Linked DNA regions of Callithrix jacchus. The protein of the gene in region 1 purifies or fractionates together with the protein of each later gene. This does not show direct contact. Links are inferred from orthologs where the notes say so. Each region holds a gene or a part of one and is shown in the gene's direction. Other genes may lie near its edges.

What was found.
Region 2: the proteins of GP6 (region 1) and LYN purify together in Homo sapiens (affinity purification with western blotting; 5 studies listed by BioGRID and IntAct, with this or other methods). This does not show direct contact. The link is inferred for Callithrix jacchus from reciprocal best matches to the Homo sapiens genes GP6 and LYN.

What each region holds. Positions count from the first base shown.
Region 1 is NC_133523.1:47,883,981-47,887,432, reverse strand, and holds the end of GP6 (platelet glycoprotein VI), read left to right. Parts: intron 1-1,187; coding exon 1,188-1,238; coding exon of another isoform or gene 1,239-1,315; exon of another isoform or gene 1,316-1,492; intron 1,493-1,735; coding exon 1,736-1,971; 3' UTR 1,972-2,882; downstream 2,883-3,452.
Region 2 is NC_133517.1:12,280,170-12,284,582, forward strand, and holds the start of LYN (tyrosine-protein kinase Lyn), read left to right. Parts: upstream 1-1,426; 5' UTR 1,427-1,695; intron 1,696-4,413. UniProt on the Homo sapiens protein: Non-receptor tyrosine-protein kinase that transmits signals from cell surface receptors and plays an important role in the regulation of innate and adaptive immune responses, hematopoiesis, responses to growth factors and cytokines, integrin signaling, but also responses to DNA damage and genotoxic agents.

The sequences.
Region 1 (3,452 bases):
GCTTAGGCAGGAGAATTGCCTGAACCCGGGAGGTGGAGGTTACAGTGAGCCAAGATCACACCACTACACTCCAGCCTGGGTAATAGAGTGAGGAAAAAAAAAAAAGCCCAGGCATGGTGGCTCGTGCCTGAAATTCCAGCACTTTGGGAGGCTAATGTGGGTGGATCACTTGAGGTCAGGAGAGACAAGCCTGGTCAACATGGTGAAACCCTGTCTCTACTAAAAATAAGAAAATTAGCTGGGCGTGGTGGTGGGTGCCGTGCCTGTAATCCTAGCTATTTGGGAGGCTGAGGCAGGAGAATCGCTTGAACCCAGGAGGTGGAGGCTGCAGTGAGCTGAGATCACGCCACTGCACTCCAGCCTGGGTGACAGAGCGAGATCCCAACTTGACACACACACACACACACACACACACACACACACACACACACACACACATCCCCGCTTTCCCGCTTTACTTCTTGGTCTCCTCCAATAGCCTGGGAACTGCAGGTGGACAGTGTCTTGTTAATATTTGGGTTCGTGAGGCGCAGCACATGGCTGCGTACCTGGCTTGTCTCAGGAGATGCTTGAGGAATAGAGAGCTGACATGTATGAGGTGCTCATTATATGTCAAGCAGCGTGCTTTGTTTTACTGCCATTATCATCTTGACTTTCACACCAACCTATAAGGGATATCATTAATTTTACCGGACACATAGGAGGGAAAACTGCTTCACAGATGCTGATAAGTGATAGCCTTGGGTGTCAAATCTGGACAGGCTGATTCTTTAGTTCATGCTTTTTTTTTGAGATACGGTCTTGCTCTGGTTCCCAGGCTGGAGTGCAGTGGAGCAATCCTGGCTCACTGCAGCCTCAACCTCTCAGGGCTCAGGTGATCTTCCTGCCTCAGCCCCCACTGAGTAGCTGGGATTATAGGCATGTGTCATCATACCAGGCTAATTTTTGTATTTTTTGTAGAGATAGGATTTTTCCAAGTTGCTTAGGCTGGTCTTGAACTCTTGGACTCAAGCCATCCTCCTGCCTCAGCCTCCCAAAGTGCTGGGATTACAGGGGTGAGCCACTGTGCCCAGCCCATGCTCTGTAATAAGGAATTCTGCCTCCCAAGTGTGTGTGTTAAGGGTAGGGACAGTGATGGGGGAGGGAATATGGTTTCATTTCACACTTAGCCTTTTTTTGGTTCCCAGAGACTTCTAGGAGTATCACCACCAGTCCAAAGGAGTCAGGCTCTCCAGCTGGTGAGTCATCCTCTCCAGACCCTCTCCCTTCTCACCCAAAGCCAACTCCTTTCTCTATACAGAAACTGCAGCTCTGAGATCTTGGGTTCCAGTGTGTAGAGAGAAGGCGGAATATCAGTGTATGGGGTTCAGAATTGGGCATTAAGTTCAGCTGGGAAGGTTGAGATTTTCTGAAGGGTCAGAGAAAGAGATTCCATCTCTTCCCCGCCCCTTATAACTGTCTTCTCTTTTGCAACGCATTGGCTAACAAGGCAGCATGTGTCTGGGAAGGGGTTGTCTCAGAGCCCTGTGACGGCACATGAGGGAGAGGTGCTACTTAGAGAATTGGGGTCATCTTGCCCTGACTCCTACTGGGGAGTGGGGGAACCCTCCAGGAAAGAGAATGGCATCCCAGCTGGTAGAGGATAATAGGATCTCTGAGAAGCCCAAGATGTGGCTTGGAGGGGGTCCTGGAGATGGGCTTCTTCACCTGCTCCTGCCTCTCCTCATTCCTCCAGGTCCTTCCCGCCAGTACTACACCAAGGGCAACCTGGTCCGGATATGCCTCGGAGCTGTGATCCTAATACTCCTGGCGGGATTTCTGGCAGAGGACTGGCACAGCCGGAGGAAGCGCCCGCGGCACAGGGTCAGGGCTATGCAGAGGCCACTCCCACCCCTCCCACAGCCCCGGAAATCTCACGGGAGTCAGGATGGAGGTCGACCAGATGTTCACAGCCACGGGTTCTCCTCATAACCAGTGAACCCCAGGCATGGTCATATCCAAGGGATGGATCATGGCATGGGACACAACTCAAACACTGTGGTGTACGTGGAGCATGGGAGCAGGAGGGTTGAGGCTACAGCTTGGAAAGGAGGCCATGTTGCCTCCTCCTGGTGCTCCATCAAGGAGCCGTTCAGCTAGTGTCTGCCTGGCTCCCTGTCCGAGGACGCCCTCCATTTGGGATGGGAGGAGTCTCCTCCCTGCACACTGTGGATCACATGGTACCCTGGCTGGACCACATACCAGCCTCTTTCTTCAACCTTCTGTAATACGGGCTCCAGATGAATCTCTAACGTTCCCAGCTCTCACGGCCGACTCTGTTCCATCCTCTGCGCAGAACCCTCCATGCTTCCCCTTGGCCCTCTGTGCTCATCTGGTTTTCCCCAGAAACACTCACCCCAACTCCATCTTCCACTGCAGTCTAACTCACTCCTCTCATTTCTTAGAACAGGCCTTGCGGGCAGTTTGGGTATGTCGTTCATTTTCATTAGTGTAAAACTAGCCTGTTGATTGCTTTCCTGCACTTTAGAAAACAAGATCAGCCTGTGCGACACGGTGAAACCCCATCTCTACCACAACAAAACAAAACAGAAAACAAAAATCGGCCAGGTGTGGTGATGCATGCCTATAGTCCCAGCAACTCCGGGGGCTGAGGTGGGAGAAGGGTTTGAGTCCGGGAGGCAGAGGTTGCAGTGAGCTGAGATCACACCGCTGCACTCCAGCCTGAGTGACAGAGCCCGACCTTATCTCAAAAAATAAAGTGATGAATATGCTAATTATCCCATCTGATCATAACACATGGTATATATGTATTGAAATATTGTTATCTACCCCATAAATATGTACAATTATGTATAAATTTTTAAAATAAAAATAAAATAAGATAATGCACCATCTCCACCCCTCTCATAATTACTTTCTGAAGGAAATGTTAGGTCTTCTCAAAGTAGAGTTCTACATTTATTATGGCATTTAGGCATTTCTTGATCATCTAATGAGTGTAAAACTATACCACTGCACGAGGTACAGTGGATCACGTCTGTAATCCTAGCACTTTGGGTGGGCAAGGCAGGAGGATCACTTAAGCCGAGGAGTTCAAGACCAGCCTGGGCAGCATAGTGAGACCCCCATCTCCACTAAAAATAAAGAAGAGAAAAAGTTTTTTTAAAAAGGAAAAGAATGGCTGGGAATGGTGGCTTACGCCTGTCATCCCAGCACTTTAGGAGCCTGAGATGGGTGGATCACTTGGGAAAAGACAGGACGGCAGACAGAAGCTTCAGGATGACAGCTGTGAATCCGGGCTAGTGAGCACACAGCTTAGGTGCAGCGGGAATGGGAAGGTTGCTTAGAGAAAACTTCAAATGTAATAATGGGTCAATTACTTGTCTTAACATAGTGGAAAATCATACTGAGAAGCTATTAGAAGAAAGAGGAAAAATAATTATAGAGGTCAA
Region 2 (4,413 bases), on another chromosome or scaffold:
TACTCTTATTTGCCACTCATGTTTAGCCAGGATCTTAAGGATTCATCAGTAGCAATAGATACTTGAATGTAGGATTAACATATTTGAGAGGTCATTCTGAAGAAAAGAGCAGGCAATAGGCTCTCAGGTGAATTACTCCATAGGATTCTTTGTTTTTGTTTTGCTTTGTTTTGTTTTTTTTCCATAGGATTCTTGGTAAGTTTCAATCACACACCTTCCCATGGGTAACCCACCCCTTCTTCTCTTCAGCAGCAAACTAACTGAACTACACACCAGTGAACATCACAGATATAAACCACCCTCCTTTTCTTCTTTTAAGGAATTCGTTACTATGGAAAGGAGTACTAAAGTTTGCAAACTTAGTACTCAGATTGCCGTATCAGATTGTGTCACAAGGCAGCTGCTTTGACCTCTTGCACTGCAGCTGGGGCCAGCCTCTTCAGAACATTGTTGAGAGGGAAAGCAAGTGCTTTGGGCACTGTCTGGCCCATCAGGCCCTCTGTAAATGTTTGCTATTAATGCAAAGACCAAGTCTCCCACAGTGTCCAATTTGCTTCCTTGTAAATTCTTCAAGGTAATGCAATGCTGGGATCCCAGTGAACAGAATCTGGCTTCGACGTGGGTATCCATGGTGTCCGAGCCTAATCTTACATCTTGGATAAGTTGAACATGAGCTTGAGCCCGCGGTCACACATTCTTTCAGCAAATACTGGTTGGGCATCTGCTACTTGCAAGCACTGCCCTGCATGCCGGCATGCAGCTGTAGCAGGAACGAAGTAACAGCCAGCATTCCCGCATGCGGGCGGTGCGGCCCGGGTACAGAAAAGTACACGATAGGCATCCTTACATCCATTTTCTGGGGGGAAACTGAGGCTTTGAGAAACGGAGAACTTGCCGGGCCATTTGACTCCATGTCATCCCCTCCCCCATCAATGCCCTGAACAGCCTGCCCTGAACCCTGCACACCCTGAAGGAACTTACTTTGTAATGATTATTAAGAGCCCGAGACCCCGAGCCTCAACCCGGCACATCGCATCCTCTCTCTACAGACCCCCTAGTGTTGGAAGGGATCAGAGCTCACCTCCTCCGTTCCCGGGAACACCCCTTTCCTAACACCTTGAGGAGGGGTCGGAAGGAAAGGAAAGGAGACCCGCGAGATGTCGTCGATGCGCCTGCGAAGCCGAGGCTACCCGGAGACCTGTCCGTCCGTCGGTCCCGGCAGAAGGATGGCCCGGGCTGCTCCTCTCGCCGGAGCTGCAGGCTGAGTCGCCAGGTTTCTGTGCCTTCAAACCCTGCGCGACGGCCACACCAAACACCCAAACCTTGGGCAGGGACCAAACGGTCACTTCCCCGCCCTCCGGGCTCAATATGCAAATCCGAGCACCAGGAAGTAGCTGGGACCTCTCGGTCGAGCCCAGAGACAGCCAGTTCCTCTCCCGCCGCGCCGGGCCGCGCTGCCGCTAGCTCCCCGGCAGTGGCGCCTCCGGGCCCGACTAGCTGCAGCCTCCAGCCCGCGGCAAGCTGGGCGGCCGCGCCACCCCCGAGCCCGCGCCCGCAGCCCCTCGCCGCGCGTCCGGAGTTCCCAGCCAGCAGCCTCCCCCTACGCGGGTCCCGCTGGGCCGCCCCGTCGCGCCCCCCGCTCTGAACTCAAGTCACCGTGGAGCTCCGCCGCCCCGAAACTTTCACCGCGAGCGGGTGAGTCCTTGGCGCGAGCCCAGGGTGGGCGCGGGCGGCGGGCGGTGGGTGCAGGGGCGGCGGCTGTGCCACCAGCCGGAGTGACGGGCGCAGGTCAGCTCGGGGCCTGGGGCATCCGCGCGGCCGGCGGCAGCTTCCTGGCCGCACCGCCTCCGGCCCTGGCGGCGAAGACTCGCTGATCTCTTCAGCCAGCGGGTGACCCGGCCCAGGGGAGCTAGGGCGCTGGGACTCGGGCTCCGCAGGTGTCCGCGCGCGTAGCAGCGCAGGAGGGTGATGGGAGGTGAGGGCGTGGGGGCGGGCTCACCGCGGGTCCTTCCCGGCGCGGGCCCTTCCCGGCGCGGGCCGGAGGACCGGCTGCTGTCCCCGCACCGGCGGCTTCTCGTGCACCGCGGGCAAGCCCCTGTCCTTGCGGACTGGGCGCGCGGCGGGGATCCTGGAGAGGACTCCTCCGATTGTGCAATCTGGTCTCCCCTCTGGACCCTGGGTCCCCAGAAAGTGGGAGGTGGGGTTTGGCCGACGCCCTCTCCCAGGCCCGCGGACAGCTGCCTTCCCTGGTGGCCCCCGGCAGGAGCGTGACGTCGAGGGGCTGCGGCAGAGGCCGGAGCTCACCCTCCCGCTGCGGCGCCTCTCCGCCTGCAGAGGAGCAGTCCGGTGCATTTGCCGGCTGAGAGGAAGCGAGAGTTATTTTAAGAATTCGGGGGTTGCCTTTCCTTCTTCGCCTTGGGGGAAGGGCGTTAAGAGTCAGTTCCCACTTTCCTGCGTTCTCTGGGCCTATGGTGGTATCTTCTCCTTGCGGTGCATTTGTAACTTTCCAACCGCCTGCCAACCCTGTGGACTTGTGGTTGTGTCTTCGTTTCTTTGCATGCCCGTGTGTGTTAATTATCCCCAATTCGCCCTTCTTTGCCAGCTTAGAATCCAGGCCTTGCACTTTTCTGGCTGTATATTTTGGGGGACCGATTATTGAACTCTGGGCTTCTTCATCTTTGAGAGAGCATATATATCTCAGGGGCTGTTTAGTACAAACAAAGCCCCTACTACATACTAGGCATTTTGTAAACGATGTTACTGTTATTTATTGCAGTAAATTCTATTCACATAGAGAGGCTCCTTGATTCTTTGCAGCTTGGTGATTTTGAACCTACGTCTACTGTCTGAATTTAGTCATCTGACCTTATTAGTAAATCTGCTTAATAAATACGTGAGGAATCTGCTGCATCAAAGCAGGTGCCAGTAGTCTGACTTGCCCTATAGAACTAGCCAATAAACTGGTGGGCTGCAGGGATGTTTTCTCTGTACAGCCGACCCCTAAAGCCATGTCCTGGCGAGTAGGTACTGCAAGATCCCAGGACTTACTAAAGCCTTCTCTGAAAGAGTAAGCTTTGTTGGAAAAGGGTGAGATCCAGTTAGTCCCTCCATTCTCATTTGGAGGTAAGCAGGTAAGCACTTTGAGGCTTGAAGAAATTTCATTAGATCATAGAGCCTCTGGTGACTGGGCCTCTTTTGATGCAAATGTATGGCGCTTTTGCTGAGTGAAGGATAGAGGGCAGCAGACATAAGGGAAGAGAAAATAGGAGCTGGGAGACTTGAGTTTGGCCTCTTCCACCATTTAGTATGCTGTGATTTGGGATAAGCCACTTGGGCCCTTTATTCAGCTAATATTTCCTTTATAGCAGCAGCCAGAGTTATACTGATCTGTCTGCAGGTTGATAGTCTTCACCACTACAGTGGAAGCTCCATGAAAACTGCTTCATCTGTTTTGTCCAAAATGATAGCCCCAGTGCCTGGTACATAGTAGGTGCTCAGTTTGAGATTACTTGGAAAAAGGAATGAAGGCCTGCTGTGAGCTGGCAGTATGCAAAACTGAGGACACAGGGAGATGAAGAAATAGAGCTGGTCCCCAAGGTATCTGAAGCCTACTGGCCCTTTCTGTTGTGGTTTCTAAAACCGGGATTTGAGGGGCTTTGTTGACTCAAAGTTACCCAGCACCGAGTTACTTACATTTAGTGTTCTAAATGAGAATTTCCACTCAGCACTGCTCTTCTCTACTTATCACTGGAAGAGAGGTCCTGATGTGGGGTGGTTAAGATGTTTCCTGCAAAGGTATTTGACCCACATTATTTTAGAGTCATTCATGTTGCCAAGGTAGGTGGAGACTTTGTAATCCCATCCCCACCCCACCTCTCCAATGACTTTCTTTTAGCAGAAAAGTGGTCCAGCACTGTTCAATGACTTTGAAAGCCTTTTACTTCTCTCTGTAGTATATGTTTTCGGAAATAAATCCCAAAACATCTGCGATTCCAGTTGGTTCACATGACTATGTGGAGTTGTAACTTAACAAAATTAAATAATGTTATCCATGTACAAACCCATACTAACTTTATAAATAAGGATACAATGTATACATGCCCACAGCAGGGAACATTGTTCCATGCTCACAACTACTGATGATCTCAATGATGCTTGGATGAGTGTTAACACTGAAAGGCCACCACAGTCATTAGTCAGGACATTGATCAATGTCATATTGACAGCAGAGATGGCCTCAGGCCTTTCCCGGCTCTGCTTAGCGATGATGGTGAAGGTGTTAGCACCTTTCACTTGTTCAGGCCTCCGAAGTCTTCTTGAACTCTAATTTCATTTGAACCTTTTGTGGCTCCTATAAGTATGGAGAGGGACAGAAACAGAAAAAGATTCAGGGGCTTGTCCAAAATCATGGGC